4 linked regions of the Alligator mississippiensis genome follow. The protein of the gene in region 1 purifies or fractionates together with the protein of each later gene. This does not show direct contact. Links are inferred from orthologs where the notes say so. Each region holds a gene or a part of one and is shown in the gene's direction. Other genes may lie near its edges.

What was found.
Region 2: the proteins of RIPK1 (region 1) and MAP3K7 purify together in Homo sapiens (affinity purification with western blotting; 5 studies listed by BioGRID, with this or other methods). This does not show direct contact. The link is inferred for Alligator mississippiensis from reciprocal best matches to the Homo sapiens genes RIPK1 and MAP3K7.
Region 3: the proteins of RIPK1 (region 1) and RNF216 purify together in Homo sapiens (affinity purification with western blotting; 3 studies listed by BioGRID). This does not show direct contact. The link is inferred for Alligator mississippiensis from reciprocal best matches to the Homo sapiens genes RIPK1 and RNF216.
Region 4: the proteins of RIPK1 (region 1) and TAB1 purify together in Homo sapiens (affinity purification with mass spectrometry; 3 studies listed by BioGRID and IntAct, with this or other methods). This does not show direct contact. The link is inferred for Alligator mississippiensis from reciprocal best matches to the Homo sapiens genes RIPK1 and TAB1.

What each region holds. Positions count from the first base shown.
Region 1 is NC_081826.1:121,050,084-121,056,940, forward strand, and holds the start of RIPK1 (receptor-interacting serine/threonine-protein kinase 1), read left to right. Parts: upstream 1-3,843; 5' UTR 3,844-3,998; intron 3,999-4,211; exon of another isoform or gene 4,212-4,477; intron 4,478-4,850; exon of another isoform or gene 4,851-4,910; intron 4,911-6,857. UniProt on the Homo sapiens protein: Serine-threonine kinase which is a key regulator of TNF-mediated apoptosis, necroptosis and inflammatory pathways.
Region 2 is NC_081824.1:77,998,325-78,005,684, reverse strand, and holds the start of MAP3K7 (mitogen-activated protein kinase kinase kinase 7), read left to right. Parts: upstream 1-4,349; 5' UTR 4,350-4,712; coding exon 4,713-4,802; intron 4,803-6,657; coding exon 6,658-6,747; intron 6,748-7,360. UniProt on the Homo sapiens protein: Serine/threonine kinase which acts as an essential component of the MAP kinase signal transduction pathway. Plays an important role in the cascades of cellular responses evoked by changes in the environment.
Region 3 is NC_081836.1:53,437,141-53,444,650, reverse strand, and holds the start of RNF216 (E3 ubiquitin-protein ligase RNF216), read left to right. Parts: upstream 1-4,493; 5' UTR 4,494-4,544; coding exon 4,545-4,584; intron 4,585-7,510.
Region 4 is NC_081827.1:99,038,714-99,045,932, reverse strand, and holds the start of TAB1 (TGF-beta-activated kinase 1 and MAP3K7-binding protein 1), read left to right. Parts: upstream 1-4,217; 5' UTR 4,218-4,576; coding exon 4,577-4,726; intron 4,727-4,908; coding exon 4,909-5,045; intron 5,046-5,175; coding exon 5,176-5,329; intron 5,330-5,997; coding exon 5,998-6,084; intron 6,085-6,923; coding exon 6,924-7,062; intron 7,063-7,219. UniProt on the Homo sapiens protein: Key adapter protein that plays an essential role in JNK and NF-kappa-B activation and proinflammatory cytokines production in response to stimulation with TLRs and cytokines.

The sequences.
Region 1 (6,857 bases):
TACTTCCACTGCAGCATCAAGGGGGGAAAGATGCTGTGAGAGAAACAGGCAGAGCTGAGCATCCCTCAGAACAAAATCATTCAGGATGTGGAGACTCGGTGGAACTCCAGATACCTGATGCTGGAAAAGCTGGTGGAGTAACAGAAGGCCATCCATGAGATGGCCTTGCTTGGGGAAATTAGGATCAGCGGCCCCCTGAACAGAGCTGAGTGGGGTATCATCTCCCAGATCTTGGTGGTTCTCAAGCCCTTCCTCGAGGCCACCAAGACCCTTAGCACTGGCAATGCCCTCCTTAGCCAGGTGATCCCCCTAGTGAGGGAACTGGAGAACCAAATGGAGAAGTTCCAGGGGATCAATGTTGCTGGCTGGGGCAGGCCACTGTTACCAGACATGCAGGCACTAGTGAGATGGCTGAAGGAGGGCATCAGGAGACGGCTGGATCCCTTGAGGTCCAGTACAGTCCACATGATGGCGGGCATGTGTAACCCGAGGGTAAAGGGGAGCATGTGCACTGGCAGCCCCAAAACCCTTGATCACTGGATGCAGGTGCTAGTCAACAAAGTCAGGGAAGCTGAAGTGCAGAGGCAAGGAGATGTGGAAGAGGGGGACCCACTTTCCCATGCCAGCACCAGCACCAGCCAGTCTCCTCCACGCCAGCCACTGCCAATGTGGACCATGGGCATGGCTTCAATGCTGGGATCCAAATGCACCAGGCCCCAGCCTCGGGCAGGTAGCGTGGAGGCTTCTGTGGCTACCTATCTTGCTGAGGATGTGGAGCCACTGGACTGTGACCCCTTGGCCTACTGGGCAAACCACAGCCAGATGTGGCAGGATCTGGCCACAGTTGCCCGGTTGTCCTGTCCACCAACCAGTGTTCCAAGTGAGAGGGTGTTCAGCATTGCTGGGGATGTTGTGACACCCCACCGCACCTGCTTGGATCCTGCTTTGGTGGAACAGCTGGTGTTCCTAAAGGTGAACCTCCCACTGCTGGGGTTCTCCAAGCTCCACCTGCAGATGGACTGAGTGCCACCCTCTTCACTCCATCTGCACCAATTTCCTTTTCTGAGTTTTTTAAAAGCTGAGTAGTGCCCCGCTCTCAGCTGGAAGGGACACTAACTGCATCACCAGCCAGCAGGGGAAGAACATGTCCCTGCTGAGCTCATTCCCCTGCCAGGATGAACTTGGAGGTATGGGATAGGGGCTATGGGGAAGGAGGAGGCCCCAGGTCCTGGGCATGACCACTAAAACTGCACCCTGCCAGGGTAGGGAGGCCTGGTGGGACTGCTGGCAGCGCAGCAGCCCTGTAAATGCCAGGACAAACGAGCCCCTGGTGCAAGGCGGGTAGGAGGTGCTATAACCTCCAGGTAACCCACACATGCACAATTTCCTGGCTAGGGAATGCCCAGACCTGTCATATCTTTGACAAACCTGACGCTTGCTGGTTCCAGTGCAGTTGTGAGGCTCCTGGTGAGCTCAGCTTAGCTGCCCGGGATGCCAGCTTTAGGGTTGAAAAACCCCTTTGTCAGGCTGAGGAAGTACCTGCAGTTGGTCCTGGATGGAAGGAATAGTAAAAAAGCCAGAGGCTGGCCTGGCCCACAATGCAGACAAGAAAGCCAGACAGTGAAAATGGAAATAGAGGCGTCAGGGGGTGAGGGACAGGCTAGGGTGGGGGGTAGCGGGGAAAGGGGGATGTAGCAGCACACGTAAAAGTGCAGAGGTGCCTGGGGTGTCAGATGTCTGGCAGGTTGCAGTGTGCCAGAACTCCACTGTCTATATTGAGTCCATTAGTTTGTGTACCTACTACCTAGGAGGCTGATGAAGTGCAGTTCATAGGACCAGCTCTGAAAAGTGGTTTGCATTGTAATTTGTTCCCTCTCAGGATCAGGCCTGAGAGACTGGAGGCAGAGTGTTTTTCTGGTGAGGAATGTGCCCCCACAAGTAGTTGGGTTTTGTTGTCTTTGATAGATTCTGGTGTGCAGTTTGTGGGGGTACTGGAGATAGTTGGCAGGTTTTGTGTTTTGAGCTGTAGGAAGTTGGCTTCAGTTCTGGTGATGAAGGTAGGTGCTTGTTTGAATGTACAAATGATCTCTGATCCTGAGAGGGAACAAATTACAGTGCATCCCCCTTTCCCCACTACCCCCCACCCCAGCCTGTCCCCCACCCCCTGATGCTTCCATTTCCATTTTCACTGACTGGCTTTCTTGTCTGCATTGTGGGCCAGGCCAGCCTCTGGCTTCTTTACTATTCCTTCCATCCAGGACCAACTGCAGGTACTTCCTCAGCCTGACAAAGGGGTTTTCAACCCTAAAGCTTCCAAAGATACATTTTTTTTAAGTACTCCTTTTTTTTTCATAATACACATATAGACATAAAAACACAAGATAAGCCATCACACACTATGAGTAACATCATATGTCCAACACAACATCTTTACTTGTTGCTGTCAATTCCTTTATAAAAAGAAAGGCTCTGTGACAGTTCCATTTGGGTACCTTTGATGCTGCTGCTGCTGCTGCTACTGATGTTGAGCCAGCTAAGTTACTGTACCTGTTGTCACAAAGTGGTGGACTGGCCGTGAGGCTGTAGGGGAGGAGGAGGCCACACTGGGGCACACTGCCATATTGTGCAGTGGCCCCAGCGCCAGGAAGGGCACACCTTAACACACACCCACCGTGTCACCCACCCACATCACAAGTTTTGCCTGCCAGCAGCTTGAGGTGCAGGGCCCCAGAAGACAGACTCCCCCAGCGAGACACACACACAGCTGGCAGGCTTTGTGGCCTCAGCAAGGGCCACCACCCCTGCAGTTTTCAGCCCACTGCACCTTAACACACAGTGGGTCATCTATGTCATGAGTTTTGCCTGTCAGCAGCTTGAAGTGTAGTTCCTCCCAAACCCCTGCACCTATCTTCTTGAAACTTGGCAGACTTTGTGGCCTCAGCAGGGGCCACCACCCCTGCAAGTTTCACCCAAATCAGAGGCAAAACAACAAAGTTATAGATATTTAATTGATCACACAGGCCTACCTGACAGCCCAGGGCACCCTTGAGAGGATCTCAAGGTTTCCCCCAGGGCACCACGGCTCCCTGCCTGAAAATCACGGCTCTAGATCCGAGTCAGCAATGTTATTGGACTGTCAAGAACACCAGCAAACTCAGTTTGTAAGATGTTGGTGTGCCAGAGGCAGATGGCGGGGGGGGGGTGTGCCGCAAGGGGCCCAATCCTCATTGTGGCAGTGCAGCCCTGGCCCCTTTCTTGCTGCCTGCCCCAAGATGTGCATGCCAAGCAAAATGCCTTGGTGGGCCACACTCTGGCACCTGTGCTAGGATTTGCCTACCCCGTTTTAGATGTCCAGTAACATGCTGTAGAGATAACTCCTCCCTGTGGGATTCAGAGAGGCCACTTCCCTGTTAGTCTGAAGGCAGGTATTACACTTGATCTCAGCCAACAGGCAGGAAAGGTCTGTTAACCTCCAAAACAGTGATGCTCAACCTTTTTAGACTCAAGGCGCCTCCAGGAAAATGCCTGCTTCTAGCTTTTACTTGTGGTTTTTATAACTACAGAAAAACAGTAAGACCAATTCTTCTGTTGCAAGCAACTCAGCCCAGAAGGGGGGGAATGCTTTTGATACTACAGATTCCTGCTTGAAAGCCTGGGTTTTATCTGCAAATGGTGGCTGCAAACCCAACAGTGCTCCCACTGCGCAGCACCTTTGGAAGGACCTCAAGGCCTCAGGGCTGCCACAACTTCCTGCCAGAGAATCACTGCTCACATGCTGAGTAACATGCTCCGGAGATAACTCCTCCCCGTGGGATTCAGAGAGGCCACTTCCCTGTTAGTCTGAAGGCAGGTATTGCACCAATTCACAGAAGTTTAGGGCTGGAAGGAGCCATCCTGCTGTGGGCAGGAAAGACAGCTGGGGTCAAATAACCATAGCAAGGTCTGCGTCCAAGTCTCCTTTTGAAGATCTCCAGGCTACACTTGATCTCAGCCAAAAGGTAGGACAGGGGCCAGCACCTTAGAGTCTGTTAATCTCCAAGGTGGTGGCTCTCAACCTGTCTTAGACTCAAGGTGCCCCTGGAAAAAATGCTAGCTCCTAGCTTTCACACGCGTGTGTGTTTTTTAACTACAGATAAACAAGTCTTCTGCAAGGCAGCCCAGAAGGGGTGAGATTGCTGTTGACACTACAGATTCCCGTTTGAAAGCCCTGGGTCTATCTGTGCACGGCGGCTGCAAAGCCAGCAGCGCGGCCTCTGCGCGACACCCCTGCAGGGGTGCCAGGGCCCCCCGGGGTGCCGCCCGGAGCCCTCCTCCTCCTCCCGCCTGCCGGCAGCCGGACTTCCCCGCGGGGCGAGCCCGGCCCTGTTCCTGGGCGGCTCCTCCCCGCGGCCCGACTGGCGGAGACTGGCGGCGGGGGCACCGCAGGCCTCGCCTCGGCTGGGCTTGGCTCTCCCGGCGCTGGAGCGGGGACACGAGGGTAAGACGCCCCCGGCCCGCGCGGCGCGGGAGAGCAGGCTGCCCCGTGTGCCCGCGCGGGTCCGCCTTGGCCTTGGCCTTGGCGGGGCGGACTTCCCGATCGCTGCAAGCAAAAGCGAAAGCGGCGCCTCCACGTCGCCCAGCGCCCTCCCCTCGGTCCCGGCTGCGAAGTGCGCCCCGCTGCCCCTGCCTGGCCGCGAGGACCTCCCCGCCCGGGCCTGGCGCCACCCCACGGGGCCCCGCCGCCTGAGGGGAGGGGGGGTGCCCTGCTGCTGCCGCCGCCGCCGCCGCTGCCCCCTGGGCAAAGGAGGGGGGGAGGGGGCTGGGGTTGGGGCACGGGGGTGAGGAGAGGCAGAGGGAACTGGGCTGATTGAGTCTGGAGCTGGGGACAGCCATCCAAGAAGCCCGAGCCTGAATGGATTCAGTCTTTGCAGGTTAGTCTAGCCTGCAGAGCTTGATCCGCCAAGCAAGTAGATAGACGTTCACTTTTGATCCCAGACATGCAGGCACAGGCCTGCAGTGGCTCAGGCTAGAAGCCTGGTGGGGTGGGGGGGCTAGAGCAAGCCCTCCCTTCCCTTTCATGGTGCCGAGATGAGGGGGTGGCCTGAGTATGTTTGGAGAGGGGTTTAAACCACCAGGCTGACCTGCAGGGACCCGAGCTGGGATGTACCTGGAGGCTGGAAGCAGCCTTTGCCAGGCTTTTGGGGGGCTGGGGAACATGGCCAGACCCTGGCCACTAACTAGATGCCAGCTGAGCATGGTGGCCCCCCGAGGCAAAGGCAGCAGGAAGGGAATTTATTACACCTGCCATTCCCCCTCCCTCCAGGGTCTGCCTGGTCAAGGGCAACCAGCAGACAGTTGCCAGGGCTGGCAGAGGGTCCCCCAGTGGGAGAGGGGAGGGAGGGGAGAAATAAACCCTCTCCCTGTCTCCTTCACTCCATGCTGGGCAGGCCTCTGGCCACAGCCCTGCCCCTGCTCCAGCTAGAGAGCAGTGACAGGGCACCCTGCTTTCTGGAGCAGACAACACAGCCCAGCCCAGGGCTGCAGAGCATGCTGGGGGACTCTGGTTTAGCTTAAACCAGGAAAGGGTCTGGGACAGAAGCTCCGTAAACCAATTTGACCTCAATCAGTTAAAGTCTGATACTACATTCAATCAGGTTTATCTTAGATCAGTTTCAGCCATTTTGAAACTGGTTTATGTGCACTGAACTTCTGTTCTGTTACAGGTTTAAACCAGTTTCTGATCATTTAAACTGGCTGATGTGCAACTTTTGTCCCTAGCCAAGAAGGGGGGGGGAGTTGGCAGCAGCTTTTCACTCCTTGAGGGGGGGCTCCCAAAAGGATGGAACTGGACTTGTCTCAGGGGTGGGGCAGATGACAGGATAAGGAGCAATGGTATCAAGTGGCAGCAAGAGAAATGGAGGTGAGATATTAGGAAAAGCTCTCTCACTGGAACAGGTTACCCAGAGGTGGTTTGGATGAAAAGCAACCAGTTAGATCATAGAAAATTAGGGTTGGAAGGGACCTCAGGAGACCATGTAGTCCATCCTTCAAGGGTTTAAGGCCTGGCTCAACAAAGCCTTGGCTCAGATGAGATAGTTGGTGATGGCCCTGCTTTGAGCAGGGGGTTGTACTCACTAGATCAGCATTTCTCAACCTGTAGGTTGCAACCCAAAAGTGGGTTGGAAGAATATATGGACGGGTCACAAGCAAACTTTAAAAAATGATTCTCCTTTAAAAGGAGAAAAATGTGGGAAACCATGGGTTTTCCCTTGCTTCTGCCAGCCTGAGAGGGACTGCTTGGGGCACCCTCTGCCCCACACACTGGGGGGCTGGGGCATGGAGCCAGGGGGCAGTGGATTGGGAGTGAGGGGTACTGAGTTGGGACTGGCCAGTGTTTACAAATGGGTCCTGGTACAAAAAAGATTGAGAACCACTGCAGTAGATAACCTCCTGAGATCCCTTCCAGCCCTAATTTTCTATGATTCTTTCTATGAGTTCCTCACTGGAAGGCACAGGCAAACAAGGTTCTTTGGGTAAATCAATATATTTTATTAGACCAACCCAAATAGTTGGAAAAAATCTTTTTTGCACGCTTTTAGGTAGAAATACCATTCATCAGGCTGAGGAAACATCTGCAGTTGGTCTGTGCTCTTCCTGGATGGAACAGTAAAAAAAGCCAGAAGCCAGCATGCAAGTGAGAAAGCCAGTCAGTGAAAATGTAAATTGAGGCAGTCAAGGGCGGGGGGGGGGGGGGGGGGGGGGGGGGAGGGAAGTGGGTTGAATATAGCTGGTAAGGTGGTAGAGAGGTTACCTGGGGAGATGTTAGACAGGTTATAATGTGTCATAAATCCAATGTCTATATTTAGTCCATGATTATT
Region 2 (7,360 bases), on another chromosome or scaffold:
TGAATTTTTACTAGACAGTCTCTGGTTACAAAGCAGACGTATCTCTGGTAGGAGGGGACCCAAATGGCATAGTTGTCCACAGCAAAACATGGAATTGAACTTTGGTTTCCTGAGTTCTAAGCTACTGCCCTAACCAGGAGAATATCCTTCCTCTCAAAGCACCCCAAGTGTGATGGGTGCAGATGAAAACCTATAGGCTCAATGATTTTTTTTTAATTACTTTAGTAAGCTTTCTTTCTCTCTTTGCATGCCGTTATATGTAAGAAATATTTGAAATCCTTTTGCTTAGTAGTATACAAGTGATACTAAGCCCTCAAAGTTAACATAGTACTAATTAAAAGTTGTGTCAGTCAAAAAAAAAGAAATGAATAACTTAAATTATACCATCGTTTAAGACTTATCTTCACAATGGTGACAGATTTTGATAAGGATTGTGATTTTGCTTTTGCAAACAGAGAGCTTGTTATTATTGTGATACATATTTCTACAGCCATTTCTGAAAGCAAGTGAACCTTACAAACAACTATAATTGGAATTCTCTCCTTTGTGTTCCTTGCTCTCATCAACAAAAAATAAAGGTAGCATGACTGTAGAAGAAAAACAGGGCAAAAATATACTTGGCAGCAACTGGAATTTGCTTGATATGTATTCTCAAAAGAGGCCTTTGAGTCATGAAACAAGCCAAACCTTCCATTAATCTTACTATTATCTCATTTTCTCAATATCCCACAAACCCATGTTCTAGCTTGTGAACAAAATGAATATCACTACTGTATAATGTTCATAGGACATTATATGCAGGAAGACTCACTCCTCAGATTCAGTTAGCCTTAGAAATTAAATATAACGTAAATGGCTTTATGCAGTAAGCCAGAACTGTGGAAGGAAATGTGTTTTTGAAATATGTGTTTTCAAAAACAACAAAAGGTGTCTAGGGAGTAGCCTTACAGTTTCTGGAAAGGAGAAATATTCCAAAATAGACATTTTACTAAACAATAAATTGTGATTAATTGATAAGATTGCTACTGGCTTGGATTAATCAGAGGGAGCAGTGTTTAGGGCTTAAAATAATATAACAGGGTAATCTAAATATGCTTCTTGTAATCAGAATGGGTTGAAAAAGGCAACTATTGGCCCATTTGTTTTGTAGGGGAGGGTTGCATTTGTTTCTATTTTTGGCTAAATTTTCATCTCTTTAAATTATGTTATGAAATGCAGTTGTTATTCCAATGTCATCTGAGTGTCTTGTGCCAATATAGAAGATCAGATAAAAAACAATGGAGACATAGGTCCAAGAAAGTAAAACCATGCCATGGAACAAAGCAACAGATCTAGAGACAGAATTTGAGAACTGATCAACATGTTGGCTCTTCTGAAGAGCTAGCCATCAATCTCATGATGGGAACCAGTAGGTACTGGGCTCCTTTAAAAATCTGGCCTCAAGTATGAGTATCGAACACTTAAAACACTATTCTCTTCTGCTCTCATAGCAATGTGAAGTGGTACAGAGTAGAAAAATTAAACAGCTGTGTCAACAATCTGTACAACACTGATAAAAATTGCTATGGAAAGGAATATATATTTTTAGTGTATTTAAAAGCCTTTTGATATATTTTAAAAGAATCTGGAAATAGGTATACAGGCAGCCCTCCCTCGACTTACAATGTTTCAAGTTACAATGTTTCACACTTACAACATTTATAAATTGACACTGTTTCAACTTTCTGATGCCAGTTTTGACTTTACAACGCTTGACCTGATGTGACGCCATGACAGTGAACAAGTCGCTGTGTCACCCATCTCCCTGGAGAACATCTGTCCAAACTTCCTTGGACGCTTTCTTTAAGAAAGCAGACAAGGCTCCAGAAAAACCTGCAGGCAAGACTCCTGAAAAGACTCCAGCCAAGAACCCTTCAAAAAGTCCAACAAAGTCACCTCAGAGAAGTCCTTCCAAATCAATATGTTGCTATTTACAATATAAATACATTAATGTAGCTGTGCTACTCATCTATAATTGATCGAATACAAAATTCTGGGTTATTTTTGGTGAAAATAAGGTACCAGGCCTTGGTTCAGGAACCAATCCCCTATTTATAACATTGTTTCTTATGAGAAAATTGGTTCTGAGTTACGTTTCGACTTAAGACGCCGTTTTCAGGAACCAATTATGTTGTAAGTCTGAGAACTACCTGTATATTGAACTTGTTATGATTTTCATAAGAACGAGATTTTGTTAATAGTTGTTATCCAAAAAGAGTGGTCCATGCTTTGAGTACCTCACAATCTAAAGCCCTTTCCAAGCTAACATGGACTAATGGTTAAGACCACACTCCTGAACACCATACAGTGGTAATCACCTAAACACAACCCTCTTTTGTTATATGGACTGCAAGTGATTAATTCCAGCTGCTTTTTACAAACTCTAGAGTTGATATTAGGGGCTAGTGCAGCCAAGAAAGGGTAGATGTGGGATCACCAGCTTTTACTTTGTCTCTCCCACCCCAGAGAAAAGAAAAAAAAGCCGGTAGAGGGCCTGATATACCACTGTGTTACTCTAGGTTTATGCTGGTAAAAATCCATTGATTTCACTGGCGTTAATCTAGAATAATATGGCAGTGGTAGTTTCCTTTAAAATGTAATAATAGAATCTTCTAATGAAATCAGAAAATAAGTAATGCAATCAGCACATTAGCCCTTGTGTTAGTTATTTTGATATTGAATTCCCCACGCAGCATTTTGGGATGGGATAACATATTTGTTGTTTGATCAATAGTGACATTTAAACTGTCATCTTCAATTTCAGAGCTAACACCCCATTAGTGTGAGTGAGAACAGCCAACTTTCCCGAACTAATCTTTTAGGCTATTTGCCGACCCAGCAGAGTGATATTATCTGTAACACGTGGTTCACATTTCAAGGTTTCTTTATAATCATATGACCATTAAAGTTAAAAATATTAGAAGACAGGCAGATACTAGGACATAAGGAAGAAAATATGACTTAAAGAAAGCAATCCCTTATTGCCAGCAGATTTAAGAAGGGGGAAGAGTATGGTCACACACATCTGAGTATGCTACCTTTATATCCATAGGTAGATATATCTATCTAAGATTTAAGGAGGGAGGGGTTGAGTGTATGTATGTAGACACACATAGGAATGCACTTCCTTACATCTCTAGCTAGGGAGTTATTTCTATCTATAGATTTAACAGAGGTATGTTTATATAGACACACATACATGTACATTTCCTTACATCTATAGATAGATATTTCTATCTATAGATGTGTGTGTGCGTGTGCCTGTGTGTGCAGACATGCACATTCGAGTATATTTCCCTACATCTATAGATACATATTTCTATCAACAGATCTATAAAGGCTGTGTGTATCTGTCTGGACACGCATCTGAGTATACTTCCTTACATCTATAGATACAGCGAGAGATATTTCTAGCTACAGATCTAAGGGCTGTGTGTGTGTCTGTCTGGATGCACATCTGGGTACACTTCCTTACGTCTACAGATAGATAGATATTTCCTTCTATGTATCTAAGGGGGGGGTATTTAAGGGCGTATGTATCTAAGGGTATGTGTATGTGTTTCTATCTATAGATCAAAGGAGGGGGCGGGGGGGGGGAGGGGGGCATGTAGACACATCCCAGTACACTTACTTATATCTCAGGCTAGAGAGATACTTCTATCTATATATTTAAGGGGGGGTGCAGACATGCACAGCCAGGTATACTTCCTTACATCTACAGATAGATATTTCTATCTACAGACCTCTCAGGGTGTGTGCTTCTACCTATAGATCTAAGGGGGTGTGTGTGTGTGTTTACTTCTAGCTATAGAGCTAAGGCGGGGGGGGGGGGTTAAACACCTCCCAGTACACTTCCTTCCATCTCAGGCTAGAGAGATACTTCCTATCTATAGATTTAAGGGGGGGGGGGGGTGCAGAGACGCACATCCCAGTGCACTTCCTTACATCTACAAATAGATTTACAGATAGAAGAGTGTGTGTGTGTGTGTGTGTGCAAACACACACATCCCGATACACTTCCTTCCATCTCAGGCTATAGAGCCACGTCTATCTGTAGCCGTCGGGAGAAGGCGCGGGGAGCCGCGCACATCTGAGGGCGCTCCCTAACCTCTGCAGACAGCTGTGTCTCTCCGTAGGGCTCAAGGGGGTACGAGTGGGGGAGGGGGAGCCTAGAGCCGGCCTTGCTGTGGCGGGACCTTCCTCCCGCCTCCCTGCGGACCAGGGCCAGCGCGGGGCGGGCGGGGCATCCTCGGCGCCTGCCTCAGCTCGGGCGGCGGCGGCTCCCCCTGGCGGCCCGGCCCCGGCAGGAGGAGGAGGAGGAGGTACCAGGCGCTGCGCGGGGCTCCCGGGCCGAGCGCGGGGGAGGAGGAGGCGGCGCCGCCAGGCCATGGCCCCGCTCCGGCGGCCTTAGCGGCAGCTGCCGAGTGCCCCCCTCCCGGCTCTGAGCGGCGCCTTCCCGCCTCAGCCCCGCCGGGGCTGGCGGAGGCGGCGAGCCCCGGCCCCGCCACTCGCTCCGCCGGGGCCTCGCAGGCAACGCGAGCCGCAGGCCCCGGGCGCGGCCTAGGCCGGCGGAGCGCAGCGGGCGCCCGCCAGCGCCTCGGATGCGGCCGCCTCCGCCAGCCCCGGCCCGGCCCCGCTGAGCCCGCGCCGCCCCGGCCCGGCCCGGCCCCGGCATGTCTGCGGCCGCCTCGGCGGACATGATCGAGACCCCCCCGGTGCTCAACTTCGAGGAGATCGACTACAAGGAGATGACCGTGGAGGAGGTGCGGGCCGGGCCGGGTGCGGGGCCCGCGGGGAAGGGGCGGCCTCCAGCTTTCGCCCCTCTGGGCGAGAGGGAGCGGGTTGGGGAGAGCCTGAGGGCCGGAGCAGGCAGGTGGCAAGGTGTGCGGCCTAAATGCCCTGGTGGGGGGCTGGGGGAGAAGTGGAGTAAAGGAGGAGGACACCCCAAGTGAGACAGGCCTGTGCCAGGCCCCTGGACAGCCCTCCCGTTCCCGGGGATAGGGTGGACTTCATTAGATTCCCACAAGTTCCCCAAAAAGAGCAATTCTCAACCAGGGAGACCAATGGGCAATGCACTGAGCCCTGGCTTTCAGCCTCTTTTCACTTGTGGACCCCTAAAAAATTTCGAATGGAGGTGCAGAGCCCCGCAGTTTTAAGTGGGGGTATTCAGACACTTTTGATAGATCGTAGTGCTCATTCACCAACCTGTTAGACATAAGTCTGTAGACCGCCAGTTGTCCATGGACCACAGGTTGAAAACCGCTGTCCTATCTGTGTGTGAGAGATATGTGAGTATATGCTATATGGAGTATACAGGTTTCCTTCGCTTTATGGAGGTTCTGTATGTGTGAATTCGCTCTTACACGATGACCCTTTTTATACCAAAAATTCATTATATGCAAGGTAAATTCACTCTTATGCAATTGGTGTGGTGGAAGTCTGCAGTCAGCTGCTTTGCAGTGCATTGTGGGAGTGACGCACACCAAAATATAGTCTTTTATGTGGATCAGTGCTCTTCGCTCGTTGTCTGCGACAGGTGTCTCTGTAGTTGCCATCCCCGTTATGGTAACATTCACCACCACCCTGTGCTTGTGTGTACTGTCTGCTGTTGGTGAGTACCACAGTTGTCTTGTAAAAGTGGTAGAAATGGGTCTGAGGGTCAGTACAGTCTAGGTCTTGGAACGTATCCCTATCTGTTACATTGTATGCGTAATCAAGTTACGTGCCGTTTTCCAGGAATGCATGTACAGCATAAAGCGAAGGAAACCTGTGGTAGTGTGTACAGCATGCATACACCATACATTATGTGCATTTGGGCTGTAAATACTGATTAAAGAAAATATCCGTTTAACCTGTTGTAATTACAACAGTTACATGATTACTTGGTATGGCAACCCCCAGGCTGCTTGTGGACAGCAGTGGGGTGCGGGGGTTAGGGGGGGACTAGTACCTAGTAGCTAAGCTCCACGGACCTCAGTACACTGGCTTGCAACCTCCTTGCTGCCTGCCGCAAACAGCTCGGGCTCTTAGATAGGCAGCAGGGGCCTGTCCAGAGCCTGGGCTGCTTGTGGCAGACAGTGGGGAGGCTGCAAGCAGCTGCAATTGGGGTCCGCAGAGCGTAGCTGTAGATACTCTGTAGATACTGTATCTGTAGATACTCTGTAGAGCTGTGCGTCTCTCACTGGGGTTGTAGAGAGACAGCAGCAAGGCGCCAGACTTCCATGCGTAGACCCTGAGATGGTGCAGAGTCACTTGGAAGAACTGGATGCCTTTAAGTCGGCAAGCCCGGATGAGCTCCATCCGAGGGTGCTGAAGGCACTGGCCGACATCATTGCAGAGCCACTGGCGGGAATATTCGAACGCTCGTGGCGCACGGGCCAGGTCCCGGAGGACTGGAAAAGGGCCAACGTGGTCCCCATTTTTAAAAAGGGGAGGAAGGAGGACCTGGGCAACTATAGACCAGTCAGTCTCACCTCCATCCTTGGCAAAGTCTTTGAAAAAATTATCAAGGCTCACATTTGTGAGAGCCCGGCAGGAAAAATTATGCTGAGGGGAAACCAGCACGGGTTCATGGCAAGCAGATCGTGCCTGACCAATCTAGTCTCTTTCTATGACCAGGTTACGAGACGCCTGGACACAGGAGGAGGGGTGGATGTCGTATACTTAGACTTCAGGAAGGCCTTCGATACGGTATCCTACCCCATACTGGTGAGCAAGTTAAGAGGCTGTGACGTGGATGACTACACTGTCCGGTGGGTGGCGAATTGGCTAGAGGGTTGCACCCAGAGAGTCGTGGTGGATGGGTCGGTCTCGACCTGGAAGGGTGTGGGCAGTGGGGTCCTGCAGGGCTCTGTCCTTGGACCGATACTCTTTAATGTCTTCATCAGTGACTTGGACGAGGGAGTGAAATGTACTCTGTCCAAGTTTGCAGATGACACAAAGCTATGGGGAGATGTGGACACGCCAGAGGGCAGGGAACAGCTGCAAGCAGACCTGGACAGGTTGAACACGTGGGCAGAAAACAACAGAATGCAGTTCAACAAGGAGAAATGCAAAGTGCTGCACCTAGGGAGGAAAAATGTCCAGCACACCTACAGCCTAGGGAATGACCTGCTGGGTGGCACGGAAGTGGAAAGGGATCTTGGAGTCCTAGTGGACTCCAAGATGAACATGAGTCGGCAGTGTGACGAAGCCATCAAAAAAGCCAATGGCACTTTATCGTGCATCAGCAGATGCATGACGAATAGGTCCAAGGAGGTGATACTTCCCCTCTATCAGGCACTGGTCAGACCGCAGTTGGAGTACTGCGTGCAATTTTGGG
Region 3 (7,510 bases), on another chromosome or scaffold:
ACCCTTCCCATGGAGCCTGGGGCACGAGCGGGGATGAAGCCTGGGGTGGGGGCAGGTCTCAAGGCAGGAATGGGGCCTGAAGTACTCGAGCAAAACGTGCATTGCTGGAGACCCATTGCTTCCTCCATTTCACTGATTAACTGTGCCAGACAAACAGCCAGAGCATGCCCCTCTGAGTGGGGGCACAGGCAGGGGACACAGGCTGCCCCCCAGGGCAGGAGCGAGAGCAGTCCCGCAGGGGAGGACAGACCCTGCATGGCGCCAGCACTGCCCCCGGCACACTGGCTACCCCAAAGGGTGCGGGGGCAAGGGAGAACCATGCCTCAGTCCCCCCTGCCCCCTCCACAGCGGGCAGGTGCCATATTCTGCACTGGCTGGGAGGTGGCAGATCCGCTCTTCCAGCTGACGCTCCCTTGGGGACCCCAGCAGGAACCGTCCCGGACTCGGACAGACTTGTTCTGGGGACGCCTTGTGCAGTATGCTCCATCTGTTCCCCTCCAGGGCGCCTCTGGCTGTGATAGCCAGCATTTAGCCCTCCCTAATTCATAAACACACTCATGCTGCTCATTAATACTTAATTGACCAAAGGGATTTTCAGGAGAGATCCCAGTTCAGCTCAGCTTCTACCAGAGACATTTCCGATGGAATCTGGGTGAGAAGAAACGAATGTGCGAAACTCCCGCAGGAGACAACGACTGCTTTGGGCACAATTAGTTGCTCATCCCCGGATGCAGGGAGCTGCACCGACCCCTCCATATGGTGTACAGGTACAATTTCCACATCACATGATTTACAGGCGGGGGGGGGAATAGGGTTTTTCCAGCTTCTTGAAGTTCCTCTTTTAAGAAAAAAATCTGTTTACTAAGATGGCAGATCCCAGCAGAAGAAAAGTTCAGTTCCCAAGGAGCTGGTTCTGTAGATGGCAGCGGACACAACGATATTTCCTGCCCCTGCTGCAAAGTGGGATGAATGTTTTTAAATCCTCTAACTTCACCGCACAGCTTGGCGCTAGCTGCCAGTCGGGGTGGAGACAAGCGCTTAGGGAAAGGGGTGGTCTTTTCAAGGGTGGGTCTTACCACTGAAGGGTGGACTTGGACCTGCAGGTCCCATCGCTCAGCTCTGGAGCTTTAAGGCTAAAAGTCAGTAAATCAGCCAACCTTCGCAGGAGCGCTGGGAAAGAGTTCTCAACCTTCGCTTTCTTCCCCTCATCTGAAGAGGTTTTAGCACAGAGGGGGTTTGACTGCTCAGCCTCCAACCTGTCTTTCGCTGCATCAACTGTCCATGGCAATGTTGCATTCAGATTAGGCTTCCTCCTATAATCATTTTGCAGTTTAAAATTCAGTTTTGTTATTTATCTGCTCCCTGCTCCTTGTATTTGGAATAAGTCCAGCCCAGGTACTGGCTTCTAATTTCCATTTGCCAAAACCTTGTTTTTTTGCACTGGAATTTTAATCATTTTCCAGCTGATTGCTGTGTGATCCACCTACCAGATTTGCGGCTGCCCTTAGCTCCATCAGAAGTATCCTACCTGTGCTTGCTGCATTGTGTCTAGACAGGGACTTGCTCCTTACACCACGTGCGTCACAACCTTATGTGTTTGGTTTCTGCATCACTCTTTGGTCTTGTACCTAAAGCAGATGCAAGTGACTTGTCTGACGGGATACAGTTCTCTGATTGGGGCTCATAGGTGGTGTAGGGATACAAAACATCCTCCAAATAATAATCCTATATTCAAGAATTGTGTAGATCTATTTCCCCTTCTTCTCCCCAGATGCATCTTCATTGCATTCAAAGCTGGTGTCTACATGGGGAACCCTTTTAAAGCGGTGCTTGCTGGTGGGTTGTGCCTGGTATTAAATCCTGATTAGAAGCTCTTTGCTGTGTGATTCAGCTTTTTGCTTTGACATGCTGATGATCTGCATGCGTTTCCTTCCAAAAGCGCTGCTGCAGCTGGCTGTATTTATAGAAAGCCGTTTCTGACTTTGGACTAGGGGGTTGTGGAGTGTGTTGATTTAAGCAGCTGTGTTGACTTTTATCTGCTTACCGCACATGCAAGGTCTGGGACACAAAGTGATCCCAAGCAGAAAACCTGCCAACGAGATGTCTGCTGTGGTTGGAGCTGGCACTGATCGAGGACCTTGATCCTTCTGTCATTATTTTAGATCCCAGAAATATGATTCTGCGCTGCTTTACACCTGATATTCATACCAGAAGGAGTCCAAAGTGGAGTAAAAGCAGCTTCTCTGCTTTCTATTGCTTAAGACCACTTCTGTGTTTAATCAGAGGCAGGATGGAGCTGCGTGGTTTCACTGGTGGATTTGCCTTGTGAAAACTAATTAAAAAAAGGAACAAGACCTTTTCTGTTCTTTTCTTTTTTGTCATGTGAAGTGACCATCCTCAACTGGGTGCTGGAGCGCTCATACCCTGCTGCTCTGTGGCACACAATATTGTTTAAAGCGCTCTTCTACAGAGGTACACATGGTCTTCACAGGGCAGGCATCTGGGCCAGCCCCTGTCTGTATGGATGCTGGAAGGCAGGGTAGGTTTGCACCTCACAAGTTAAACAAAATAAATAGATATATCTACTTGGATCGATATCAATATAGATCTACTTGTACAGATATAACTCTGTGTGTGTATTCACACACACACATATATAGTATACTTGGATAGCAAAAGTATACAGTGCATTTGGATGGATAGCTACACGTGGATAGGTTACTTGGATAGATATAAATAGATCTTATCTAGACATGTATATGTATATTTATATCCATACAAGTAGAAATATAGCTTTCCTTTGGTTAGTCTGTCAGGTGCAAATCTACCCGGCCTTCTACTTGCCTCCAGGCTAACTCTTGTCTTCATGCGTGGTTGAGGCAAGGAACCCAGGAATCATCTGATGGCATTCGATATGGAGAAATGCAAGGTGCTCCACCTCAGGGGGTGGGTGGGGGAACCCACATCACGCTTACAGGCTCAGCCGTGCTGCACACGTTAGCACCACGACCGAAAGAGAATTGGGGGTCTTGACTGACCACAAGATGAACATGAGCCACCAATGCAATACTGTGGCCGGCAAAGCAAACAAAACTCGGGCTTGCATCCATAGATGCTTCTCAAGCAAGACCCAGAAAGTTGTCCTCCTGCTTTACTTGGCCCTGGCGAGGTCGCAGCTGGAGTACTACATCCAGTGCTGGGCTCCACAGCTCAGGAAGGACATGGAGAAGCTTGAGAGGGTGCAGAGGAGAGCCACGCGCACAATCAAAGGGCAGGAGAACAGGCCTTACAAGGAGAGGCTGTGAGCCATGGGACTCTTCAGCCTGGAGAAGCGCAGGCTCAGGAATGACTTGGTGGCTGCCTATAGGTACGTGAGGGGTGTGCATCGGGATCTGGGGGAACGCCTGTTTGCTAGAGCACCCCAAGGGATGACAAAGTCCAACGGTCACAAACTCCTCCAAGACCGTTTCAGGCTGGACATAAAGAAAAACTTCTTTACTGTCCAAGTCTCAAAGGCTTGGAACAGACTCCCTCCAGAAGCGCAGGCATCTACTCTGGACACTTTCAAGAAACATCTGGATGTCTGTCATGCTAGGATCCTGTGACCCCAGCTGACTTCCTGCCCCTGGGGCAGGGGGCTGGACCCGATGATCTTACCAGGTCCCTTCCAGCCCGAATGCCTATGAAATGTGTATTCAAGCACGAGCAGGGCCTCTGCTCACTAGGGGTGACATCCACCCCGCATGCAAAGGGCTGGCAGGGCATGAGGCCAACCTCCCTCTTCCATCTCGGGCGAGAGCAGGGACGCGGGTCGGCCCTTGGCCGAGGGGGCGTCCGGGTGCTCTTGCCTCCTTTGTAGCCCCTGTGCCACAGCGGGGTCTGCCGGCGCTCGCGGCTTCCTCCGTCCTGCTGTTACGAGCTGCAGGCTCTCGCCTGGGGCAGCACCAGTCAGGCCAGGCCTGGCCAGGCAGCCCCGACAGCTGCCCCGGGGCGCGGGGCTGGAGGGGGCAGCTGGGCACGGCGGGACCATCGGGCAGGAGGGAGTGCTGGCCCCGAGGTCCCGGCCTCTCCCAGCTGCTTTCCCCCCCTGTGGGAGTCTGTCTCATGGTTCACCCACTGCACACACTTGTCTGCGTACACGTGCGCACATTTGTGCACACGCACGTCCACATACATGCAAGCACACTTGTCCACGTACACGCATGCACATACGTGCGTGTGCGCGCATGCTTGCACCCGTGCACGCAGATCCACGCGCGCACACGTGCAAGATATGCACGCACACGTGGGTGCACACACGCATGCGCACACTTTGCTCAGGGTGGGGGGCGGGGTCGAGGCCCTGGCGGCCCGAGCGGGGGGCGGGGCGGGGCGGGGCGGGGGCAGGCGCCGCTGGCGGACCGCCCCGTGCCGTCTCTATGGTGCGGCGCGCGGGGACGGGCTGCGCTGCCGGCCCGTCCGTCCCGCCCTCCCCGTCTCGCTGGTCGGCGGGTCACGTGGGCGCGGCGAGGCGCAGGCCGGAAGCTCCCGGCCGCGGCGGCTCCATGGAGCGGGGCCCGGGCGGGGCGGCCCCAAGGCGGCCCGGTGAGTACCGCCGCCCCGCCCCGCCCGGCCCGGCCCGGCCCGGCCCGGCCCGGCTCGGCTTCAGTTTCCCTGTGCGGGGGGGTGGGGGCCGGCTCCGCCCCTGGCTGGGCTGGCTTGACAGGCCGGGACCCCCGGGCCCGAGGGGGAGGCCGGCCGGGGGGGAGCCTCGCACACACAGGGCCTGACACACGGGGGGGGCACGCCTGGCGGTGATCCTTGCACAGACAAGATATGACACACCTGGGAGGGGGTGGACAGCTGGGGTGACCCTCGCACGCACAGGGGTGACACACCTGGGGAGGGCACGCCTGGCAGTGCTCCTTGCACAGACACGGTCTGACACACCTGGGGAGGGCACGCCTGGTAGTGCTCCTTGCACAGACAGGGTCTGGCACACCTGGGGAGGGCACGCCTGGGGATGAGCCTTGCACAGACACGGTCTGACACACCTGGGGAGGGCACTCCTGGCAGTGGTCCTTGCACAGACAGGGTCTGGCACACCTGGGGAGGGCACGCCTGGGGATGAGCCTTGCACAGACACGGTCTGACACACCTGGGGAGGGCACGCCTGGCAGTGGTCCTTGCACAGACAGGGTCTGGGACACCTGGGGAGGGCACGCCTGGCAGTGCTCCTTGCACAGACAGGGTCTGGCACACCTGGGGGGGGTGCACAGCTGGGGTGACCCTCGCACACACACAGGTGACACCTGTGGAGGGCACATCTGGCAGTGGTCCTTGCACAGACGGGGTGTGACACACCGGGGGGGGCATGCCTGGGAATGATCCTTGCATAGACAGGGCATGACACACCTGGGGGGGCACGCCTGGTTGTGACCGTCACACCGGCAGGGTCTGACACACCTGGGGGGGCACGCCTGGGTGTGACCCTCGCACAGACAGGGCCTGACACGGCCGCACGTGCCAGTGGCCGTTCCCAGGGGCTCCCCCGAGTGGTGACTGGCGAGCAGGCTGCGCCAGGTGGGGCTTTTCCATCCCCTTCTTCGGCAAGAGGTGTCCGCACTGCCCGGGCATCCTGGGGGTCCGCGCCGCAGCGGGACTCGCTCCTTGTCTGGCTAGTTTGTGACTAGACGGACGCCTGTGCTCAGAGACCCTCAATCTGCACCGGTTGTCAGTGCAGGTACCGGCTCCGCGCCGAGGGAGATGGCAAAGGGCGGCGCATTAGTATACGCCGCACACCAGCGCCTCCCTGCCCCGGAGCACAGGGAGAGCAACCTGGGTTTGATCTTCGGGAAAACTTTGCTGGCTGCTGTCTCCGGAGCGACGAGGGTTGTGGAAACGTGATGGGAGCAGACAGGGCTGAGGTTTCAGACAAAGCCGGTGCCGGGCGATGGTGTTTCGAGGCTCTGTTTGTAAAGCTAGTGAGACCCTCAGGTTGTGAGCTGTTGGAGTTGAGATTTGCAACTCATTTCCAGGCAGAACTAGGGAGAACAGTTGTCAAAAACACACGGCCTGGCACACGGGAGCGCAGCGGCTGCTCTGTGGTGCAAGCTTTCCAGCACTGTCCTCCTTCCTGGGGTGTTTTGCACAGTGCTGGAGAGACGGCCTGGGCGTCTCTGGAAAGTGGCCTGCTGAGAGTGTGCGACTTGCTGCGAGCTCTCTCTATCCGTTGTGGGGGCGAGTTTCAAAGGCGCAGTGGCAATTAGATACCTAATTAGCACTGGTGCCTTTGAAAATACTTCTTACTGACTTGGTTGCTTTCCAGTTGTATCCAGTACAAGGCTGAAGGCCACATAGTTGCAACTAGATACGGATTGGTTTGACAGTGGCTATGGGACAAATGCGATACAAGTAAATAAAAGTTCCTTTTCTCTTCAGTTTTCTCATTTAGTCAGTGAGAAGTAGGCAAGATCGTAACATTTTTAATGAAGTTTTATGTCTTAGCCATCAGTTCAAAAACTATGGGTGATGTTTACATAAGAACGAGTAGGGTGACTGTAGGTAATCCTCTAGCATGGGCAGTGTACAATGCAGCAGGGATATCACTTAATGTCTGTGACTTTTACAAGGGCCTTTGCAAACAGGTGGGGAGCAGTAAAAGACAGGTGTGCTTCTGTGGACCTTTCAGCTACAGCTCCAAGTAGCAGCGATGGCTGTCTGTCTGGTTGGCACAAAGACTTTAGCATTAAGTCTGGCCAAAAGAAATGAACAACTTCTAGAGCTGCATCATGTCTGTCTTTTATTTTTCAAAGGCGTCACAAAAGAGGATGTTCTTAGATCTCTCCCACTCAAATGCTCTTGCTTTTGCCCTGTGGCTGTAGAAGCTGTAGATGTAGCTCTGGAGAAGGTGCGCCCCAGTGGTGAAAGCAGAACAGGGAAGGTGGTATGTCCCTATTCAGTCGCGTGGCTGGTGTTTTAGCCACGCTCTTCCCCCTGCTCCCTAGATTCTCAGGTTGGTTAATGGGAACAGAAGGGAGTCCTGCTTTACTGGTTCGCGTCTTAGCAGGTGTTGCTTAAACACCTTTTTACAAACCTGGGAGGGTGTAGTGCTGGCCGGAGGGCAGGATCCTTGTTCTGATTTGCAGTGGCGCCTTCGAAGGAACTATTTTTGCTGTACAAATTCCGTCTCTAGTCCTGCGGCTCTGCCAAATTCCAGTTAGTTCAGCGGGACTTTCCATATTGAACGATAAACATCTTGATAGGTTTCATGTGCTGGGTGTCTGCATAGTGAGACCAGACATTAATAAACACTCCTGTTTGTCAGGCGTATACATGGCTGGACTACAAACCTGGGGCATTTCAGACCTGTGTCTAGAGGAAGAACTGGAATGGTTTTGTTCAGGCCATACTGCATAGCAGTGCGTGGCCTCACCTGCGTCAGCTTGCTTTCCTCGGACAGCTGCAGAGGTCAGAGTGCAAATTGGTGTTTTTAGAAGGGCACGAGGGAGCACAAGGTGTGTTGATACTA
Region 4 (7,219 bases), on another chromosome or scaffold:
TGTTTAGAAAGTGATGTGCAAAGCTGTTGGTCTATATAAAGCATTATTTTTGGCATAATAGTGTGGTGTCGGTAGTGCATTTCACCTGAGGATCTTGAACTGCTGCACTAGCTTCCATTCATTCCCACATATGCTCCTGGGAAAGTAAATAATTCTTATGGTTCCCACTTTGTAGATGGGAAGTTGTCAAGTGACTTGTTCAAAATTGCACAGTGAATCAGTAGCAGAACAAAATAGAGTCTAGTCCAGCTCCTGCCGGGCAGCTGGACTCCAGCAAAGAAAGATGGCAAGAAGAAGGGACAAGGGCCACTAATGAGTTGGTAACTGGGGAGTGCTCCATTAACATTCATTAATGGATCCAGGGAGTGGCTTTCAAGAAATAAGCCTTGCATAATGTCAGAGGAACACACGTCCATCTAAAGGGAAAGTTATGGGTACTCCTGAAGTATATGTTGACACCAGAGTGAGCCAGGCCATTTGGGCCATAAGGCATGTTACTGATTACTACCATGTACATACAGAAAATGCAACAAGAATGAAGATTCACCCAGCAAACAGCAGACACTGGTTATATACCAGTCACAATTTTAAGGTCTGTATAAAGCAAGGGGGATGAAAAGTATCCTGAGTTTTGTTACTAAAAGAGTTATGAAAGGGGAAAAAGGCATAGCATCCCAAGGAGAAAACATAGGGAGCCAAGAGGCTTGTCTGTCTAGCAAGTAACAGTATAACAAAAAGGAGGAACAATTTTGTGTGGCAGTGGAGGTGATTGATCACTGGAAGAAACTGCAATGGGAGGTGATGGATGTCTCAGCTCTGATGTTTTCATATCATGGATGAGTGTTTTTCTGGAAGACAGGCTCTAGTGAAACACATTGTGCTTTAGTTAAAACGAACTGATGTTAAATCAGTATCAACACTGGAGAAACAAAGCACAGAGGACTGGAAATGATTCCCTGCATCACTGAGATTATGTACATTTATGGGGGCTTTTGTTGCTTTAATGGCATTGCTGACTGGGCTGCATCCACAGCAGGGGTTTTGCCATAGCGGCAGTGATCTTCTCACATGCCTGAGTACAACTTACCACACAACTCCTATTAACCTCAGCAGGAACTTTACGTGTATATTGGAAAGCATAGTTTACCCCTACATCCCAGTCCTGCCATGTGATACAGACCAAAAGATCTCTATGGCGATATAGGATTTCATAGATTTCCAGGGAGCAAGCAACAATCTGTCCATGTTGTAGACTTGCAACCTTAGACATTGTCAGATTACCATCAATATGTAAAAAAAAAAAAGGATGGTTGCAGTGCAGCTGTTTTTTAAAAAAGAGATCTGCCATGGTTTTCTTTTTTAATATAAGCCCCATTGAAAAGGGCAGCCCCACAAGCACATTTGTAACTCCAGAGAAATGTTATTTAAAAATAAGATTGTTGATAAAGTGCTGCCTTGTTTCTATGAGATCCAGTTTTTTTTCCAGTTGTGTGTACGTGCACATGCTCACACAAATTTAGGCCTCAAACCTGTCCATGTGTATACATACACAAAACTTTATGCATATGAGCAGTCTAAATGGCATCACTGGATCTCAGCTTGTACATCAACCAATACACATGTATACTGCCTTCAGACCTGGGACCTCTAGCTACAGACCTACAGAATTTGTGACACTATCTGTTACCATTTGGATTACTGAAATTTCTTGTACTCCAGATGAAAGAGAATGGCCTAAACTCTTCACATATTTGAGAGGAGTTGCAGTCAGACACCATCCAGGAGATTTACAGAGAAAGAGTTGGAATCATCCGGCCAATATTCCACAGAGATCCCTCAAAGAAATGAGGTTAATTATTATTCTTAAAACAGAATTTCACGTCTCTGAACCTAAGACTTTTCCTACAAAATGTTATTAAAGAAATACTAAATGACTCCCAATGGGCCAAAGCTGCTGGAAAGGTTCCACTTTGACCAGCAATGCGCTGTTCCAGGTGAGAAACATTTCTAGTTGGATCCTGCTTATGTTCCCCAATTTACATGGGGAAATACGCCACGCCCTGAACCTTCCAGTGCTGTAGCATCCCTTATGCCAGCCGTCATGCACATCAGGGCACACCAGTCACAATGCTGGAGAGTTCTTTGGCTAGCTTTTAATATAAGGGGTGGAATTATTTAGCCTTTCCCCATTTGTGGCAGTGATGGGAGCAGGGGACACTGAAACTATTGTCCCTGAAATAGGCTAGACTAGCCTACGATGCCACAAAAATATTCTCGAGAGAGATGAGAATCAGTGATCTGCTTTTAATTATATTATGTTATATCATTTTACAAACGCTTGGAACGTCTCAATGTAAATTCACTCGTTGGAGTCCTTTGATAGAACCAGCCCTGCCTGTGGGTCAGCTCAAATTCTCAAGAATAAGAGAATCCCGAGTAACTTCACTGAATTCAGCATCTACCGTCCAGGTTCCAAGCTGCGTCTCTCAGCAAGCGCAACCCAGGAGGAGAGGGAACGGGTTGAATGCAGGTGGCTTTGTGCCACCTCTGTGAATCCTGAATTCTGAACTGGTTCAATGGCTATCAGTCCTTGGTGTAAATCAGAACTACACCAAGGGCTGTTCCCATTTTTGGCAGATAGTCACCTATGGGCTGTTCTACAGCCCCGGTAGCGTAGAGATGCAGCCGGGCACCCAGGGTACAGAGGCAGCAGTGACTTGCAGTTGCCATTGAGATCACAACTGTGACTGCAGGAGCTGCTGCTTTTTTTTGCCCTTCTCCAAGTCAGCACCTGAGGCTATTGACCTGTTCACCCCGCCCTAGTTATGCCACTGTCACCCCTTTCCATTACTGGACTTAGGGCTGAGTCCACCACATACTGGTGACTGCAAAGAATGGCAGTGTGGAACCACAAAGGCCCAGGGAATCACAAGCAGTGAGGATATGGGTGCTCCTGTGCCATAAAGGGGCTATGAACATGTTTGAGGCCTGGCGTCTTGAGTTTAGATAGAAGAGGCCCTCCCTTTTAGATCTGACTGAGGAGAGCCTTGGTGCGCCGGGCCCACTGTGCACCCCACCCCGCGGCCCTTCCTGCCTCACTTGGAGGGGTGGTAGCAAGGTGCCCCCTTCTGCATAGGCAAAGGCCTGGGTAGTACCAGCAGTTTCCCTCCCTCCCTCCCCGCCCACCACAGAGGCAGACACCATCCTCATGAAGAGGTCCCCCACGCTCCTTGCAGCGGGGGCTGTATCTGCTCCAAGGGGCAGCACCCATAGGCCAAGGCCCGTCATGGAGGGGCATGGGGCAGCTCCCACCCCTCCTGGCTCCTGTCACAGGCTCTTTGCAGGCTCAGGCATCTGCCTCAAGCCAGCCTACAAGCTTCCCCCTCCCCCTGGAGCCTGGGGGCAGGTGGGATGGGTGCGCACGTGCCAGTCGTGGGGGGCTGGGGCAAGTGGGGGCCGGGCACACGCCCTCGTGTCCCTTCTGTGAGAGCAGCGGAGCAGGGGCAAGTGTGTGGGGAGGCACGGGGTGTTAGGGCAGCATATGCTCACACTGTGGCTGCCCTCCTGGGCAACAAGCTCCACCCAGCAGGGGGCGCCCCTGCCCCGCCGCACCGCAGGACGAGCACACACCCTACCGCCGCACCCACGACCCGCGCAGGCCCCACCCGTTAAGGGCGGGGCGGGCGCCCTACGCGCCACGCCCCGCCCCTCTCCTCCCCCTGCAGCCGCTAGGGGAAGCTGCGCGCGGTGGGCAGGGCACGGCCGGCAGCGGCTGCTCTTGGCGCCGCCCGGGCGAGGCTGCAGCGCGGCTCCCGCTCCAAGATGGCGGCGCAGAGGAGGAGCCTGCTGCACAGTGTGAGCGCCGGGGCGGGAACTCTACCCCGCCCCACGTCTTCCCTGTCCCCCCATCGCGGCGGGCGGGGGCCCCTTCCTCACCCACCGGCGGTCTGCAGCCGGGCCGGGCCGGGGCAGAGGGGGGCGCAGCGCACGGGCTTGGGGGTGGGGCTGTACGTGACGTGAGGTTACGCCAGGCGCGCTGCCAGTTCGAGGGGGTGGAGCCCGGCGTTCTTTTGTGGGCGGGGCATGGCCCGCGGTGTTCTTGTGTGGCCCCGCCCCCTGGCTAGGGGCGGGGCTGCCCCCAGGTTGGCCTGGAGTCCTGGCGGGGAGGCGGATCATGGGGGCAATGCCATGAGGGCAGGTGTCTGCCCTAGGGTGTGGCTTGTGCCCCTGTGGCAGGGAGGGCTGCAAGGTCACTGGCAGGGTGGCTGCAGTGCCTGGGACCTTGATGGCATGGGCAGGCAGTGGCAGGTCCCAAGCATCCCCCAGCCCTAGTTCCCCATTATCTGGTTCCCCCATGGAGCCAGGGGGGAGATTTTTTCCCCCCGGGGTTTCAGGGTTTTTTCACCTTTCTCAAAGGTGTGGGGCATTGGCAGCAGCCACAGCTGGGGATGGCGACTAGGCTGTGCCAGGACTACTGCTGGCGCTTGAACGCAGAGGTTCCTGGCTAGAGGATCTTGTCCCTCTGCTCAGGGTCAGACCGATCGCCATATCTGGGGTTGGGAAGGCATTTTCCTCCATGGTCAGATTGGTAGGAACTCTGCGGGTTTTTGTCTCCCTTTGTAGCAGGAGGCATGGCTCTCTTCCTGGGATCTCTCGAGCATATATTAACAATCTTTTCAGCAGCAGGATGCTGGCTGCCATGGTGCCCCTGCTTTCCCTGTGGCAGGTCAGAGTGCTGTGTCTGGTGTTATTGCAGGGTTGACTAGCTTTGCTTTAGACAGTGGATTTGCCTGGGATGGTTTGGAGAGGAATTAGATCGTTCAGGCAAGGAGTTGGACTAATTGACCTCTGAAGCATCCTCCATACTTCCCTCTGATTCCCCATTCCCTTCCCTGGCTCTGTTCCCAGGAGCAGCAGACAAGCTGGACAGATGACCTGCCCCTCTGCCAGCTCTCTGGAGTGGGCTCTGCTCCCAACCGGTCCTATGGCGCAGATGGCAAGAGCACTGAGGGGCACCCCTGGGAAGACAACTGGCTGAAGTTCCGGTGAGTCGCCAGCACCCCAGGCCAGTGGTGGCGCTTGGCTGGTTTCCACAGAGGGGTGGGGTGGGGAGGGGGCAGGGTCTCTGTACTCCACATGCACCTTTAACCCCCGTGCCTCGATCTTCTCTGACAGGGGTGAGAACAGCTGTTACCTCTATGGGGTCTTCAATGGCTACGATGGCAACCGAGTCACCAACTTTGTGGGCCAGAGGCTCTCTGCAGAACTGCTGCTGGGCCAGCTCCACACGGATCACAGTGACGCTGATGTGTACCGAGTCCTGCTGCAGGTAATGGGGTTGTGGCTGCAGAGACTGTGCCTCCCCCTGCATTAACACTCTCTCTTTGCCACAAGGAGAAGAATGCCCTGATCCTTAGCAGGATGAGGAGAAGGTTGGGGAGGCCTGCCAGGAGCTGAGAGTGTGCCTACCTTGAGGACAAGGAGCAGTAGCATTTCATTCTTCTCCTGTTTAGCCCCATCTGCCCTTCTAGCTCCAGTAATGCAGCGTTGACAGCACTGCAGAAAGTTGGATTCTTTCTTTCTTGGATGCAGGGACATGTTAATTGAAGAAGGGGTTTACATTGAGATGATGATGAGGGAACATGGGGAAATGGACTTATTAACTCACTTCCTGGAGTAACGGTAGCTGCCTTTTGAGGTGTGACAGATGTGTCTCGTTTCCTCTGAATAGAATTTGTATATCTTTTTCTTCACTTCCTGTCCTTCACAGTTGCACAGGGTTGTATTTCAGCTACTCTTATCTAGTTGCACTAGGGCGATTGCATTTCCAGGGGAGGTGGGCTGATCCCCAAGGAGATAAATCTAAACACTTTTATAGTTTGCTGAGTAATGTGATCTCTTTTTTCAGGATGAAGGGGAAACAGATGTTGTGTTGCTGTGTTTGCAAGGCAGCTGCTGTTATCCAGTCTTGTGTTACTTTCTTGTATCCGTTCTCAGGCTTTTGATGTGGTAGAAAGAAGTTTCCTGGAGTCCATTGATGATGCTTTGGCAGAGAAGGCCAGCTTGCAGTCCCAGCTGCCAGAGGTAATGTGATAGTACTGAGAAAATGTGTCCCCAAGCCCCCAAAATTCAGTTAGAAAAAAGTCAGAGGTCTTCCTGAGGCTAATGGCCCATACAGCTAGCATGGTTAAAGCATATTGATTTCTGTTGCCAGGGCATAGTGTGGCCTAGCAGCCTCTCCAGTCATCTGCACCCCAAACACTCAGATACCTGTACTTGGCTAGGGTGAATCAAGCTGGCCCTCAGCACAAATCTGTAGCCAGGTTCAAACTTTCGGCTCTGGAGCCAGAGCAAGATACCTCCATTGCTGTGCCACTTTGTTTCCCTTCCCCAGTTCCCTTAACATTGCTGATTAAGATGTGGAGCCTCTTGTCTCTAGGTCAGTAGCCTTGGTTTGCCCCCAGGGAAGCTGTGACAGAGGTGTCACCTACCATAGTGATCCTTTGGTGGCTTGTGTGAAGTGGGCAGGTCTTAATCTCAAACTTTCTACTTTGTATAACCTACCATCACCATTGGCACTCCTTGTACCTGTTTGCAGCAGTCTTAGTAGTGAGAGCAAAGAGCTGGATGGGTTATGGAGACTGAACTCACTGCAGTTGATGCCCCTTCAGGATGAGGCAGGGATCAGGATATGGCCATTTGATTGGCTTCTGTACCATCACTGTTCCTATTCTGCAGAGAATTAGAATGTTTGTCTCCCAAGATCAGTGAAATCTGGCCAGTACTTGTCAGTGCTTTAAGCCTTAGCTTTGCACCAGATGCAGTGGCAAAGACCTTCCCTGCCCTGAAGAGCTTGGTATCCAGCTGTGATTTCTGTGGCAATGGATTGTGTGTTTAAGTTTCCCTGTAATCCTGGGTTCTAGGGGGTGCCCCAGCACCAGCTACCTTCTCAGTACCAGAAGATTGTGGAAAGGCTTAAGGCCGTAGAGCGGGAAATCTCTGGAGGAGCCATGGCTATTGTGGCAGTCATTCTCAACAACAAGCTCTACATCGCCAATGTAGGTGTGTGCCTCTTTCTCAGCTTTTCATCTTGGCATATCTGAGGGCAGTTACAGCCATAGGGCAGCCGGTTAAAACTTGACCGTAGTGGGAAATTGAATTGGCTTATGCAGGTTGGAAAACGCACTTATCATTCCTTGTGGGGGCCACTAGCATCAAA